Daphnia pulex: one gene and its partners. The protein of the gene in region 1 purifies or fractionates together with the protein of each later gene. This does not show direct contact. Links are inferred from orthologs where the notes say so. Each region holds a gene or a part of one and is shown on either strand. Other genes may lie near its edges.

The links.
Region 2: the proteins of calcyclin-binding protein-like (region 1) and E3 ubiquitin-protein ligase NRDP1-like purify together in Homo sapiens (affinity purification with mass spectrometry; 4 studies listed by BioGRID and IntAct, with this or other methods). This does not show direct contact. The link is inferred for Daphnia pulex from reciprocal best matches to the Homo sapiens genes CACYBP and RNF41.
Region 3: the proteins of calcyclin-binding protein-like (region 1) and OTU domain-containing protein 5-B-like purify together in Homo sapiens (affinity purification with mass spectrometry; 4 studies listed by BioGRID and IntAct, with this or other methods). This does not show direct contact. The link is inferred for Daphnia pulex from reciprocal best matches to the Homo sapiens genes CACYBP and OTUD5.

The regions. Positions count from the first base shown.
Region 1 is NC_060023.1:1,464,731-1,469,754, forward strand, and holds calcyclin-binding protein-like, read left to right. Parts: upstream 1-2,356; 5' UTR 2,357-2,665; coding exon 2,666-2,686; intron 2,687-2,802; coding exon 2,803-3,010; intron 3,011-3,079; coding exon 3,080-3,176; intron 3,177-3,236; coding exon 3,237-3,346; intron 3,347-3,411; coding exon 3,412-3,656; 3' UTR 3,657-3,724; downstream 3,725-5,024. Other genes in the region: protein SMG7-like, read right to left, coding at 1-1,937, 2,159-2,184; probable ATP-dependent RNA helicase spindle-E, read right to left, coding at 3,918-4,211, 4,282-4,524, 4,585-4,840, 4,904-5,024. UniProt on the Homo sapiens protein: May be involved in calcium-dependent ubiquitination and subsequent proteasomal degradation of target proteins. Probably serves as a molecular bridge in ubiquitin E3 complexes. Participates in the ubiquitin-mediated degradation of beta-catenin (CTNNB1).
Region 2 is NC_060021.1:11,015,009-11,020,237, forward strand, and holds E3 ubiquitin-protein ligase NRDP1-like, read left to right. Parts: upstream 1-1,864; 5' UTR 1,865-1,916; coding exon 1,917-2,006; intron 2,007-2,096; coding exon 2,097-2,239; intron 2,240-2,309; coding exon 2,310-2,466; intron 2,467-2,532; coding exon 2,533-2,820; intron 2,821-2,879; coding exon 2,880-3,155; 3' UTR 3,156-3,586; downstream 3,587-5,229. UniProt on the Homo sapiens protein: Acts as E3 ubiquitin-protein ligase and regulates the degradation of target proteins. Polyubiquitinates MYD88. Negatively regulates MYD88-dependent production of pro-inflammatory cytokines.
Region 3 is NC_060018.1:2,563,164-2,569,014, reverse strand, and holds OTU domain-containing protein 5-B-like, read left to right. Parts: upstream 1-1,984; 5' UTR 1,985-2,135; coding exon 2,136-2,267; intron 2,268-2,567; coding exon 2,568-2,728; intron 2,729-2,793; coding exon 2,794-3,037; intron 3,038-3,099; coding exon 3,100-3,255; intron 3,256-3,325; coding exon 3,326-3,482; intron 3,483-3,548; coding exon 3,549-4,229; intron 4,230-4,292; coding exon 4,293-4,528; 3' UTR 4,529-5,387; downstream 5,388-5,851. Other genes in the region: zinc transporter ZIP1-like, read right to left, coding at 169-1,296. UniProt on the Homo sapiens protein: Deubiquitinating enzyme that functions as a negative regulator of the innate immune system. Has peptidase activity towards 'Lys-48'- and 'Lys-63'-linked polyubiquitin chains. Can also cleave 'Lys-11'-linked ubiquitin chains (in vitro).

The DNA of each region.
Region 1 (5,024 bases):
GGAAACTAGGCAGTTGACCAGGATGCCACGGTGCGGTCGAATTGAATAGACTGTAGGGTGGCACAATAGAGGACGGTGGCGGAGGTAGATTGCCAGCCATAGCCCAGGCTGCTGGAGGCGGAGGGAAACCCAAACCAGGGGGTGGAACTGTTGGCGGAGGAATAGACAAATCCGGTAAGGCACTGGCTGCTCCAAAACTCGAATACATCCCTCCATAATTGTTATTTAATTGCTCTCGTTCTTTTTGCTCAGCTTTGAGTCGCTCCAAACGAGGAGGCAACGATGGTCTGGGGTAATTGATGCTACTGCTGTTGCTGATTGACTGTTTAACAGGAGGGAGAGGAGGAGCCAGCACGTGCTGGAATGTCACTTGCTTGTTGTGAGACTCGTCTTGTGACTGTGACGGGATTGGATCATCATCGACTTTTTGCTTCAGAATGGCCGTTAGTGCCACGTTGCGCTGCGGTGGTCGAGCCAAGATTTTGATTTCCTTTACAGGTTCGATCGATAAATTTTCAATCAGTTTGTCAACAGGCGATTCATCCGGTCTCAGGCTGGAGAAAAGCCATTCGGGTTTGTCTTCGCCACTCTGCACCGTCAACGCCAAACACCCAAATTGTTGTTCAGTCAACCATTTTCCTCGTTGGATGATTCTCGACGCTCTTATTCGATGCTCATCTACTTGAGTCACTTGCGTTGAAGGCCATCTAGAAGAGGGGCGGAGTGGAGCGAATTCGAGCAATTCTAAATCTTCCGGAAGAGGTCTTCCATCGTCGTCTACGGTGAAGGAACCGTTGGATGCAAAACAAATTTGGAGCTGATTAAGTAATTTCGCTGTCGACGACCAGAGCTGGCCGCGTTTGATTTTCGTGAGCACTTGTGGCTGAGAGTGGAACCAATCGAGGACAAGTTTGATCACGCACAAGTACCTGGAGTTGGGAAGCTGTTGGTCGGGCAGTGAACAACAGGCTGTTAAGCAAGCATTGAAAACAGATGAAGCGACATCGATAGCCAACTGAAGTGATCTCTTTTGGGCGTCGGTGGCCGAGGCTGCACTACACTCGCCCACCGAATAGAGAGTGATGGTCAGCATGCGGATCAATTGTGCTGGAGTCAGGGCTTCCGTGGCCACTAGCGATGGCCAAGTCAATGTCAAAAGATTTACCGTTTGCTCCGCTTGATCCAGATCGACACCTAGTCCAATTTGTCCCTGCAGCTTGAGAAAAGCGAGAAGAAACTCTTCGGCGCTCAGTCGACCTCCGCGAGTTTTCTGGTAATTTGATACTTGCACAGATTGTTTCTTCAGGAGTTTATCGAGATTGATTCTAGCAGGTGGAAACGGATGTTTGAGGGCCAAGCTGCGGACGTAGTAAAACAGCGTGGACAGCATATCCCCCCGTGCTGATACAAGCAGTGCCAATTGGTTGTAAGGATGTCCACTTGAAGGTTCAACATTGATGGCCTGATTGTAGTATCCTTCGGCTTCAGTCAAAAGATTTCTGTATCTAGCCAAATCTCCCAAATGGATCAAGCAGTGCTGGCAGATGTAAAGGACTGACTCATTCTTGGGCTGGAGAGCATAGGAGGGGCCATTGAAGATTCCTAATTGGGCATTTCTCTTGCAGATGGATGAGCTTGTGTCGCACTGGGCACAAATTTCTTGCAGCAGAAACATGTAGAATCCAGCTGCTCCTTCCAAAAACAGTTTGAGGATGGGATTGCTACTTTTCTTCCCTTGTTTTGGTTGCAGCCCCGAGATGGGAACTTTAAAACACACATTCCACAAATCTTGCTCAACTTTCTTGTCAAGTGCATAGTCCAAATTTGACAAAATAATGTCTTTGTACAGGTTGCGTAAAACATAGAGGAAGCTGCAGTGAGAGTCATTTGTCACATCAATGACATCTGGCATAGTTGATCTGGTGTCTCCCGCTTCCCTGAGAAAAAGTAAACAACACAAACATGGTAAGTAAAACCAAAAAACATTTAATGTGACATGATAAAGTTTATCATTCAAAAACAATGTCAAGTATAGTATAGGAACATTTTTAGTTAGTTATTTGCTTTTCCAATGTAACAAGGACGAGTACTCCCACCCACTGTAACAGTTTCCAAAACCTTGCTTAAATACTCCCACGTGTTTATACGGCAATCTTACCTCCATAATTCTTCAGCCGTTCTCATTTTTAAGAAGTGGTATTGTAGGGATTGTATAATTCCCGAAATTACAATCGGGAGCAGTACTCTCTTTCACTTGCACACTCATTAAAAAAAATCTGTAATTCATTCATTCATTCAACAAATTCGTCTGCTTCTGTCTAGCCATCTAGTAGCCAAAACACGAAGCTTTTGTATTTAAAAAGCATGAATTTGAAAGAAGATTGTTCGAGAACATGCTTGGAGAGATTACGAATTTAAAAAAAGCTGCGGTTGATATTTCACACCGATCCCACCGTTGAATTATATTTTGTAACACAACACCTTGGAAATAGAACCGCAGTTCGCCATAGGCAGCACTTGGTTCAATTCATAATTGCCGTTTTTTTACAGTCAAGCAGAAGACGTCGAATTGACAAAAATTTAATCATTCCCTTGTGGTTGCAACTTGCACATTTCGTTTTGTCAAATCACTCTTACGTTGGTTTTCTTTGAGTACAGTTGCAAAATGCCTAGACCTATTGATGAAGTACGTAACATTTATTTTTTCCTAATTTTTTTGTGTTTAAAAACTTGTGTTTCATAAGATTTTCTTGATGATTGACGTGTACATGATACTAGTGTCTCGTTTGTTGAAACTTTCAGCTTCGTGCAGATGTTGATGAGCTGAAGAAATTGACAGACTTGGCCACGCGCCAATCTGTGAGAGATGTTTTGGGCATCGAAACACGCCGTTTAGAAACTGAAATCAGTCTTCAACTCAAAGACAACATGTTCAATCTTGAGGCAAAACCAGCTGCCGCAGCTGGAGCTTCTGCTGTCAGATGTTACGATGTCAAACTTACAAACTATGGTAATCTTTTATAAAATTTTATGCTGAAGAAAAGTTGATGATTTAATGTTGTGTAATTTATCTCTTTAGCTTGGGATCAGTCTGACAAATTCTTCAAGCTATTCATCACTCTGGCAGATGTCCAAACTCTTCCTGCTGAAAATGTAGTTTGCACCTTTGGTTCCAGGTACAATGATAGTTAAAAACATTTGCATTAATTCAATGACTAAACTGTATGATTTTATAGATCCCTTGACCTCTCAGTTAAGGAACTAAAGGGTAAAAATTATTCTCTGGTCATCAAAAATTTAGCTGAAGTTATTGATGCATCAAAGAGCCACTGGAAAGTAAAAACAGGTAAAAAAAATACTACACTAAAGTATAGTGACATGTGTATTAATCCTGTCCCCCTTGTTTTCCAGATTCTGTGGTAGTCTTTCTATCAAAAGTTAAACCAATCACTTGGCCCACTGTTACTATGGAAGAAAAGAAAATCAAAGAATCTAAAGCCCCCAAATTTGACGCATCAGCCAGCGACGATCCACAGGCGAGCATGATGAACATGATGAAGCAACTCTACCAGGACGGCGATGATGACATGAAGCGACAAATTGCAAAATCTTTTGCAGAAGGTCGAGGAGGTAAAACCCCTGATTTAGGGCTTTGAAAACTTAATTAAATACTTAAAGTATTTGTCAATTCTTTAACGAACAATATACAAGAAACGTTATCGAATTCTTTGTATTTTTCAAAACAATTAGCATTCATCGACTGTTTCACAAACAGGACACGATGTAGGAACAACAAATCAAAGCAATAATACCGACATATCTTAATTTTGGTTCTGGATTGAAACAATTGGTTTTACCAATACTCCAAACAAGTTTTTCAATAAGAATGCTTCATTTCAGATTAGACTGCAATCCCTTCAGGGGTTAAGCTTGATACAGTCGTGGAGTGGAATCAGAGTATCCAGTTGACTTTCAGCGACATCCGACTGTAGAAGGTTTTCGGGTTTGATGAGATTCCATTTATAGCTGGTCGAGGGTTCGAACTTGACGTCACCACGCGGTTTGGTGATGAGCTCAAACAAAAATCCAAGCGTTTTCTGACTGACTTCTCTCATGCGCTCCTGGGATGGCGCTGCGTGGTGCTGACTGAATGACGGTGCGCCCATAACGGAATTCAACCAAAATCTAATTTTGTTGATGAGAAGCACATCCTAAAGGGAGATACAATAAAAAACTGTGTAAATATTTCGTGAAATAGAAAACAACAGTATAAACACTAACCGTAAGACCAATCTCCGAGTCAAATGTAAGTTCCATATCATGTTCAGGATAGAAGGATTGCTGCTTCACTTGATCGTAACCCAACCCACAAATGGCACCCGTAAGGCGTTTAATCTCCTTGTCCGCCCGGAATTCAGCTCTCGGGGCAAAAAGAAGCGTCAGAATGGCCGGTAAACCGGGGATATTTGGAAGCAGAGTGGTGCTGCGAGCCTGGACATGGCGACCGTTTTGTTGAGATCCGACCTGTAAAGAAGAAGAATTTAAAAATAAAATGTAAAACATAGTGATTCAAGGTATCCTTACGTGAGCAGCAACGAGAACGCGCTCGTGATGATCTCCAGGTTGATCTTCCAGTATAACTGAGTTGACGGAATCATCTTCTATCTTGACCAGGCTACCCAAAAGGGATTGCACTTTGCCGAACATCTTCATCTCCAACGGATTAACAGGGCCAACGAGTTTGACAACAGAAGTTTCATTGCGACTGTAATGTCTTGGCTCGTCAACTTCAAGTTCCATTGCCAAATACTCGGCAGCCACAGATCTCTGTTCCTCCAACCTAGTGAGCGTAAAATTGTCAATTTCATTAACCGATTTTTTAAAATTTAAAATTATAAATTACTCTCGTTGTCGGTGTCTAGCCATGTGAGAATTCGGCTTGGCTTCTTGTGCGGATTGACGCTGTTCATTATCTTGTTTGTTCATAAAAGATTCATCCACTTTGACGGCGTAGTTGAGTTTCA
Region 2 (5,229 bases), on another chromosome or scaffold:
TTACGTTAAACATTACAAGTAATTCTCTCTACTCACTACGTAGATCATGAAATCACCAGCATCTCGAAACGAAAGAAAATGAAACTCCAGTTTTTGGCCCAGTAGCTCAACAATCGACGGCGGTTGTTAAACAAGACAATCTGAATAAACGAACCAAACAAATCGTCAATATTTGTTTACAGCCGATTAAATGATATTAAAAAGCCTGAATTATCAGGGACTCGAGTGGGTCTTCATGGTTGTCAGAAACACAGGAAACTGTTGTTCATCACAAAAATCCAAAAGAAACCATTAAAACTGTCCATTTACCTAAGAATCGCAAACACCTTCATGATTGTATCTCATCTAGTGTAATGCACACCCACTGCCTGCAAAAAAATAAAAATAAACACCATTAAAATGTTAAATCTTCCTGTAAAGTCAAAACAAATTGTCTCAAACCGAGGTGATCAACCTCTGCAATAAATACAGATCGAGCATAAGTGGTTAGACGTTTAATTTATGAGATCCTCTAGCACCGGAATACTACATGTGCGTTAAACCGGTGACTCTGAGGCTCAAATGCAAATGTAAAAATAACTATACCTCCTCCATTGGCTCCATAGCCGTAACAGTCGACATCCATCCTCCACGAAATGTCTTGGCATGGAATCTTCTCTGTAAAAACGATATAACGTTAAGGCGAGGACTAGACCAAAATGACGACAAGTCACTCGATACTTTCAGCACATTTAGTAATCAGGGTACATATTTAGGTGTCCTAAGAGTGTCATCAGCAAAATCCAACAGCATATTTTACATATATGATAAGAAAACCAACCTTTATTCCTCGATTACATTCAAATCAGCGAATTCTGGAAGATAGGTTACAACCAACCGGTGCAAAACCAAGTGAGGTCAGAAATCAATCTAGACATAATTGATCATGAAAATCTACAAACCATTTCAGTGTGATACTGCTTTGGTCTACACTTCAGAATATTGCGATAGAGATTTAATCAAAATATTAATTTAGGTACACTAAATTTCATTGTAATCCTAGGGTCATCAGGACTATTTACCCATATACAATAGGAATTCGTTTTTACCTTCCAAACTAGTCGTCTTCAAGGCACCAATGTAGCCTAAATGCATGATTTGTCTCACAGCCCTTCAAAAATTGTTTCCGATCCTTGCACTCATCTGCCATCATCCCTCCTGGCATTGAAGATATCAACCTAAAATGAACAGATTAAGAGATATAATCAAACCTGTTCCTACATGAGGCAAATTAACAACTTAAATTGACAAGTTAGTTACTAGACAAGAGGAAATTTCATTCGCCTCATGACCGTTACTGCAACATTGATTTCAGACTGAACATGGAATTTCACTTAAAACTACTTATTATCAAACTTGTCCATTTTAACCAAAGAAACCCCAGACCAACCTGAGGCTTCTTTCTCTATAATATACTTCTTAGAGAAAGTCGGTTTTATTAGACTTCAACCTTACCAAAGCAATACACATATAGATATTAAAAATGTTCAGGCTAATTACTGTGTTAAGAGCGTTAACCATATCCTACAACTACGTTTTCAAAACTTAAATGAGAAACTAAAAAATTAGAAAACCCAGAATAACCACGTGTTGATCAACTTACATGTTCAGCATTTGAAGGATTGGTTTGAAATGAAAAGAAGTGACGTTGGCACTTCCATATGTAAACTTCGTTCCCTAACCGTCAGACTGCGTTTTACGGTTTAATTTTTCTACCGCCCGATGGCTCTGCAACACCTTGTTGTTGCATTTATTTAGGTACGTCAATTCTGTTCCCCCTTTATTAAAAAAGAAAGAAACGCGAACTCTTACTGAGAAGCAGGTGTGTTTACTTAATTAGGTCAAAGTTTTCTTGGCCGTTTTGTTAACCAAGAAAAATGGGAATTGAAATAAATCGATTTCAAGGAGAAGTTGATGAAGAATTGTTGTGTCCAATTTGTAGTTCAGTGCTCGAAAATCCGTTACAGGTAATAATGACAGTTCGCTTCCAAAAGCGAGAGTAGCAATAAAATTTCCCCAGAGGGAATGTGATGGATTTAATAGACTTGTAATTTCAGGCACCCAACTGTGAGCATGCATTTTGCTCTGCTTGCATTCACGAGTGGCTCTCGAGACAGCCAACTTGTCCTGTCGACAGACAAAACATAACCCCTCCTCAGCTGAGACCTGTTCCCAGAATACTTCGGAACCTACTATACAGGTTGGTGGTTTGGAAGTTTGAAACCTTATTATCAGTATGAAATTGTACCATTTCTCTATTATTTTTCTAGACTACAGCTCACTTGTGATAACTCTGTTTATGGGTGCACTGCAATATTGAAACTAGATGCCCTGGAGTCTCATGTACAAGAATGTGAGTTCAATCCAAAGAGACCGGTGCCATGTGAGCTCGGCTGTGGGCTAGTTGTGCCAAAAGACGAGTTGAAAGTAAGTGGGTTGTTTTACAGGTTACAACTTTAAATAGTACCTTATTTATGTTGATTGCATTTCCAGGAACACAACTGCGTGCGAGAGCTGCGCTCGTTGATGCAGGCCCAGCAATCGAAACTAGTTGAGGTGCAGGCGGAAGTAGCCGAGGGCAAATTTCAGATGAGCGAACAGAAACGAGAACTGCAGCTGCTGAAGGACTACATGCTAGCCATGCGGAACGCCAATCCTTCGCTGCGGATTCTGGCAGATCAGATGGAAGCCGACGAAGTGAGACGCTGGGCCGAAACTCTACCCAAGGCGAGAGTCCTGCGCTGGGGTGGCATGATCTCGACTCCGGACACGGTGCTACAGGTAATATCCTACAGTTGGCGAGCTCAATACATTCAATCAAATACGATAACCTTTTAAAGTTGCAGGCAATGATCAAGAGAGCCCTTTCCGAATCGGGTTGCCCACCGCACATCATCCAGGATCTGATGGAAAACGCCCACGAACGGCGGTGGCCGACGGGATTGTCGTCGTTGGAAATCCGCCAGCTGAACCGGCGTCAATACGAGAACTATGTCTGCCGGAGGATTCCGGGCAAACAAGCCGTGGCCGTCATGGCCTGCGACAACGGACATATGAATCCAGATATGATATTGGAACCGGGTCTCATCATGATTTTTGCTCACGGTGTAGAGTGACACCCCGGAATTCTTGTCAGATTATTAATCCAACAACATGTTTGTCTTCAGTGTCCTCGCGACCGGCTGGACCACTCCAGCGAGCTGACACTAATGAATTTGTCCCTTTTGTCCTTTAGTTCAGAAGCAGCAGTCCTCTCAACTTACTTAAAAGAATCTGATTTATCTTTTTTCGAATTGTTTATCGTCATCAGTTACTTTCATTGAATCGTGCTCAGTTTGGGGGCTAGGTGTAGGTTTTTATTTGAAATGTTTCTCAATTGGTGTCCCCGCTCTTCGGCGGTTGTAAATGTTCGATACTTGATTAATGATGGCAAAAATCTTGTTTTCTTTCATCATCAACTTTTATGTGCAAATAATGATAGTATATTCCGCCGATGCTGCGGAATAATAAATAATAAAACAATAACTGAGAAGTCAATCGTATGGTATAGACAGTGTGTGTTTGTGTGTATTTTTTTTTTATCTTTTCGTCGATTATTTTTCTGTTATTATCTTTTTCAAACCGGGTTTACTTCTTCTCTCTTTTCAGTTATAATCACATCATCGTCACACATGTTATGTAACATTTTTGTTTTTTTCAAAGTGTGGAAATGGGTTGAGGGTTGGGGGTGGATTTTTTGGAGATGTAATCGCACTACATCACATAGCCATGCTCATCCGAGTATTTAATCACATCACTCAAAAACACTTCCTCTTTTTTAATGAAGTTGATTTTCTTTCTTTTTCGAAACTTTGTTTTCGTCTCCATTCGAATGGCGGAGGGGAAGGATCGGCGGGTAGTGAAACAACATGATACGGGAAGCTAAAGAGATGATTTCAAAACAAGTTATTCACAATTAAGGACAAAATCGATGAGCCAGAGAGAGATAGAGAGAGAGAGAGAGACGTAATAATAAAGTGGTTGGATCGAAATCAAACGTCAAAGAAAAACTACATTGTGTTTGTTGTGTCTGTGCGAACATGTATATACAATTCTTGTACTGAGCTTCTGGAATCTGAAACACACACACACGCATGGAAAATAAAAGACAAATGATTGGCTTTTGTTTCGACGTAATAGAATCGATAATATAATATATAAAATCTTCTGTATATCTATTTAGAGAGAGAGAGAGAGAAAATAAAAGATGGGGGGTGAATCAAACGGCAATTAAAGTTTGTAAGGGGGGTGAGCGAGTTTCAGAATGAAGGGAAAAAATGGGGGGTAACCGACGATCCCGAATCTGCTGACAATCGGATCTGATCTGTGAGGTCCGTTCGGTTTTGAACAAAAAAAAAAGAAAATCAAATAATCAAAAAAAGCCCACACTGCGCAACTGCAGCACACATTTGTTTGTTCTTCTCCTTGTCGCTTTAACCTCAATAATTCTTCGTCTCAAATTGGGCGGGGTCGGGAGAGGAAAGAAGCGCAGCAAGACGTCGTCGTCGCTCCATAATGACGGCCAGTGAGCTCAATCTCGCTCGCGCGAGCACGAACACGAGAGAGAGAGGGAGAGAAAGATAATGTGGGTAATCACGACACGACTTGTCCACAGACCCGCGCAACCAGCACACACGCTGGGAGGACAACAAAAACCAAAAGAAACGGGTTGAGGAGCAGGAGAAATGGTTGTTGTTGTTGTCGTCGGCTCTGTGGTGACAATTTTTGAACACAGTCTCAGGTAATTTATACATAGCATGATACAATCAGTCGATGGGACTCTTTTTTTTTTGTCTTTTTTTTCAATACATCCAACTCGCTAATTAGAGGTGGAAAATCAAAATACGTGTGGTGTGTGTGTACTCACTGCGTGAGTCTGTGCGGAGTGGAAACGAGGGAAGAAGGTCAAATAATCGAAATGGCGACATAATAAGACACGACCAGCGGATGGTGAGAGCAACAACAGTGGAGGTTATAAATGGAAAGACGAAGTCACACACACACACACAGAGAGAGATACTCAGGTCATCGAGTCAACGAATTGGAATGGAGCAAATTGGGAGAGTTGGTTGCTGTTGTCGATGGAGAAAACGGAAGCTCCACCGCAAGAAATTGCGGATGAATGCGCTTTCCTATTCAATCCTCCATTCG
Region 3 (5,851 bases), on another chromosome or scaffold:
GTTCAAGAAACAAAAGCAAACAGCATGAAAAAATTTCAAGATTATCAAATTCAAAATTGGAGAACGCGTGGACAATAGTATCATGCCAGAGTCAACGAGGAGTAAAAGAAAAACAGAGAGAGTATGTAAACAAATGAAGATCATCACGAAAGAACGAATTTTGCGGATTTAATGGTGCGATCCCATTGTAATGGTCACAAGCGCCATTGCTATAAATCCAAGGAAATGGAATGCAACTTTAACCATTCTGTCTTTCGAACTAGCAAGTTCGGCCGGAATAAGTTCGAGGAATGTGACGTGAATGAATATCCCAGCTGCAAGAGATTGAAATATTGCAGAAGCGACAGATCCACCAGTACCGGGAGCTTGTTGAACGACCAGTCCAAGACAAATCCCCAAAGGGACAGCCAGTGAGAAGATGAGAATATATTTGACTCCTTGTTGGAGAGTCAATTGCTGTCTTGCCATTGTGATACCAACTGAAAAGGCGATGAGGGCTTCATGAAACACGATCGCGAAAAACAGGTGAAAGATTTTCATTTGTTCTGTCTGCAAGCCCAAGGCCATTCCTTCAAATAATGAGTGAATGCTAATAGCCATGTACAGCAGAGTTAGGCGTAGGGTTCCCCCAGATTTGTTCTTGAGAATTCTTTCTACTTGATGGTGGCTGCAGCCTTGGGCTGGTTCCAATTGAAGAACTTTTTTAGGACTAGGTGCTTCATCGCTATCTTCTTCCTTAAAGGTGACCATAGGAACATTTTGATAAATCCTGGGGATGTTGATTTCCTTTAGAATCGAAGGACTCTCTGGTGAGACTGCTTCTAATGCTTTTTTGCCAAGCAGTTCTTCTGAAGCACTTTCATCTCTGACTGTGTTATAATAATTCAGTTTACTTGATCTATCAGTTTCGTCAAAAGCCATTGGGACTTCCCAGTCTCCATTGGTCTTGTTCTTTGAATTTTGGCATTGAAGAATGAGCTGTTCGACTGACATGATAAGGAAAAATCCTAAAATGCATGTGAATTCAGCAACAGGAAAATCAGTTGTTATATTAAGGTCTGCAAGCACTTTCCTCGTCTTGTCTTGCGCATAAGGAAGTAGTCCTAGAAAGCACATTGCGATGAAGACTCCACCAGCCATGGAATTACAGAATGAAATTATTCTTTCTGTACCACGACTAAAGTTGCAGTCCTTGGTAGATTTCTTGGCTACAATGCAGACTGGAATCAAAGCACAAATTGCCATAACAATGTACACAATCAAAGCAGTGACAACCAGCAGTACTTGGCTATCCATGTTGACTGCCACTATGCTTGGATGTGTCTGATGGACTGATGCAACTGTTTACTCTTTTAGAATTTTTCGTTTAGTAATTTTCAGCGTTCGCACAGGCCAGATGCCACTGACTCTACTCACTGTCCCTTCGCGTTATTATAAAACTCAAAACTACTTGAGACAAGGGCACTTACTGCGCCTTGAGCGAAATATTAACTCGAGCTCGGTCAACACCCTCTGTCGGTCGATTTGTATTTATTTTTATTTTTTTTGTGCTTTACATCTTCTGCTCGTTTTCTTACTTCATGCTAGAAGGAACCTACGACAGGTTCTACAATAATGCTACAATAATTAATTCACCTACCTGAAAGGTATATGCAGGGTGATTTTATTCCTTCCTGGCAGAAGTTATGCAATGTTTCACTTAAAAAGTAAAATTCCAGACACACGATCAAAACGAAGTCAATGTCACAATACTGGCAGAGCAGACAGAATGTTCGTATACAATTAACATCCTTGGTTGCCTTCTTCGAGCAAAAATTCGGAAATTGAAAAATACATATTAGCTAGAAGCTAGCTAAAAAATATTTTTCAACACAATTTTGCAAACATGAAAAATTATGTTTTTTATTCATAGCATCACTCCGAAAATTCATTCCATTGAAAATTTGAAACATTTTGAAACTCTATGTTTTCGCTTATTCATCGACATGGCAACCTCTAAATAATTTAGACAGAAAAATAGACACGGCCATCTTTCAGTGGAAAATTTGTCTTTTTCGTTGAATAGATAAAAGAAATCGTCGAAGAGTACATTTCAAGGGCGTTTCGGTAAAGAGAGTGATCTTTGCACAAGCATCATGACAATTCTGCCGAAAAAGAAGTCATCTCAATCACGGTCGGAATCCGAAAGTAATACTGATGGATCTCCCCTACAACACCTCTCAGTTGGGAGCAATAATCACCTTTCACACATTGGACCAGTACCACAGGTAAAAAAATTATTTTTATAAATATACCCCAGTATTTAAACAGCCTTTGGAAGAAATTATGGCTGGAAGTTTCAGTGCATCTTCTAATTGACATCTGAAACAACCACACAAAATGGCCGGTCCAGCTACAACCAGTACTTATGTACAAGAAGCAAATGGTGCTTTGTTCATTACACCCTTGCCATTTAGGCAGTGCTCAATGAATAAAAGCAAATAGTATTGATAACTATTATTGACAAAGATGACAAAAAGTCAGCATTGTTGATTCTTATTAAAATGTATTTTACATAAATTTTACAGGTAGCAGAAACTTGCAGTGTGTCTAGGCTGTCTGGAAGAACATCATCAAGCCATCCCCACAGCCACGGACACAGCAGCCAGTCATCATCTCGCTATGAAGATTATGACCTGGAGAGTGGTCCTAGTCAAACAAAAAGAAGAATGAGAGTCAGTCCCCATAGGTATTTAATCTCAGTTATTATTTTGTTGCATTGAAATTTGACAGGCATATTTTTTTTTTATTTAGAGCTGTCCGCCCCAAGCACAGAGATAGGAATTCATCAACCTCTGCCATACCTAGTACTAGTTCAGCCATGCACAGTGTTGCCTCTTCATCCAGCTCAGGAAGTTCTCCCACACCAAGCCATACAGTACCAGATCCTTCTTCCCATGAAGATGAATCAGGAAGTGGATATAACAGTGGAGATGAATATGGACCTGCAAGATCTTCATCTTCTAATGTCCCCATTTCTGAAGAAGAATGGGAACAGGTATGTTTCCTAAGACAGAAGTGTTATTCATAGAACTCCATCAATGCCAATATGATTATTAGAAGGAAAGATGGTTTGAGAAAAAGATGCGGAAACGAGGTTTTATTATTAAGCGGATGGGTGAAGACGGAGCCTGCTTGTTTCGTGCCGTTTCTGATCAAATCTACGGTGATCAAGAAATGCACTCAATGGTTCGCAAACATTGTATGGACTATATTGTAAGTAATTGTCCTGTTGTATTTTTATGAATTTGAAACATTACGTCTATATTTATATTTGTCATAAAAGGACGCAAACGGAGACTACTTTTCACAGTATATGACTGAAGACTTTGCCGCCTATGTGAGTAGAAAAAGATTGGAAAATGTACATGGCAATCACATTGAGATGCAGGCTATGAGCGAAATGTACAACAGACATATTGAAGTATTTTGCTACAGCGTCGGTAAGCCCTTATCATTTCGATAAAATTCGCTAAATAGAAGGCTTACTTAAATTTAACCCATTACAGAGCCGATCAATATTTTCCATGGTAAACATCAGACTGATGACGAACCTATTCGATTGTCTTATCATCGTGGAGTGCACTACAACAGTTTGGTTGATCCGTACAAAGCCACTGTGGGAGTAGGACTGGGATTGCCAGGATTTGTCCCTGGTCAAGCAGACAAGAAATTAATGGGTGATGCCATGCGACAAAGTGAAGAGACCTTAATTGAAAAAGCCATGTTAGAAGATAAAGTTAAAGCCACAGATTGGGAGGCAACAAATGAAGCTATTGAAGAGCAAGTTGCCCGTGAAAGTTACCTCGACTGGCTTAGAGAAAACGAGCGACGCAGTCGACAGCAGCAACGGTCCGGTCATTCGGCAACCACTTCCTCGAATGCCTGCGAGCTCCGTTCCCCAAGAACAACAGCAACGACGTCCTCTTCAGCTCGTAATTCGCCCAAACCATCTTTTGTTGAACACCAGCGGAAGTCTCCAAATGCTTCACCGAGAGCGTCCACTTCACGCAGCGCCACAACCTCTAGTAGTCGTGAAGGTGCATCAACTAGCCCTATCGCGTCACCGGCCGCTGGTACTTCAAGTTCAAACCCAGTGAACACCAGTAAACCCGATTGGGGATTGGGGCCAGGCTTTGAATTGGCTGAAACGGCTTCATTCCTGGGACAGTTGCCTCCTGACATGTTTGGTAACTGACGTTTATATCAACAGATATTTTCAGTTTAATTTTATGCTTTAAAATTGGCTAAAGGTTTAGCAGACTGGGAGGATGCTGGACTTTTGGCTCAAGTGCTGGCTGCATCGCAACAAGAGTATCTGGACAAGTTGAAAAAGAGCAGGGAAGCCATCGACCCTCACGACGACGAGACGATGGATAACACCAAACAGCAGCAAGAGGAGCAGCCGGTTGAACAGAGCAGTCGCGACAGTATGACGACAGATCCAACCAACGACCTGACCAGTGCGAACGGGACTAACAATAGTTAACCCAGACTCCTCAGTTGTTTTGTCTACGTGTTAGCTTTCCTTTTTTTTTCCCCCCGTCAGTGGCAGGGAGCTCAAGAGGCGTGTATCAGGGGAGGAGTCAGAAGAAAGTCCTTTCCATGCAAAATTGTTAATCTTTGATTCTCGGTCTAAATTTAGACTCGCAATGACGTCTGACTGACACAATTGGATTGAACTTGCCTGTACCCCCGTCTCCTCCACTGCCGATTCTCGCAAACTGGCTGCCAAATCATGTAAAAAAAATTCATCCGCGTTCAAAGTCCAGTGAAGCGAGAAAGGGAGAAATCACTTAAAAAAAAAAAAAAAAAAAATGAGGATTGTAATAATTCGTTACACAGCTTTTCTGTCAAAATAGCCGCGGATGCTCCTCTTGCCCTCCTGGTGCCTTTGAATATCTTTCGTCGTGGTTTTCTCCATTTCGTTTTGCGGATGCTGGAACTAACTAACGTCTCCCCGTACCTTGGCAGCAGCTGATGTGATGGCCATAACTCGCACTCTTTTTTCTCGTTTGTCACGTTCTTTTGTTTTTGTTTTCGTTTAGCTTTTTCTACTAGTTGTAGGATAGAAACACGTCAAGCTATTCCGTCTGTTGAAAGCTAAATCATATGTTTTCTTGTATCACTGACCTCTTGTGCTTTTCGTGTGTATTTGTTTTAAATCCCTCTCTTCCCTATTCTGCTCTTGACACTCTTGGTTGATGTCAGAAAAGGTCAATGGCTTTCTTCTCTTTATCTCTCGCCCGTATATTGCAGATATAAATCTATTTGATGATGACGAAAAATTTAAGAAAATGAGAGACAAAAAATAAGCTTTATGCAAATAAATTAAGAAAACAAACAGACTGCCGGTATTGTAATCAAGGCGAGGATGTGCGTACATTTGTGTATTAGAAGAGAGAAACTCAATGCAGTAAACTATTTGATGAATATGTGGAGCAGCGCGCTTGCGGAAAATAACGTGGCCCGATTTTCTTTTTTTCATAAAGGCGGCCATGCTCATGGTCAGCGCAACGAGAAAAGAATTCTATATATTTTTTGGGCCAGAGAGGGCAGGAAATTCAGCCCGCTTTTGGCTAGAAAATGCGGTTGCAATGGAATATAGGGGAAACTGTATAGACTGGGTTCAGCTCGCTTCTGATTGGTGACTTGCTCGTTGACGTCACAGATCGGCCATATTGAAAAAAGCCAACACCAGGGGGCCACGAAGGCGCAGTGGCGCCCTCGACGGTCAGACAAGAGAATTTCCAGTCTTTTATGTGTGGCCTGCAGAGTGTGGTGTGTCTGTGATTTCGGCGTTTGGGTCCGG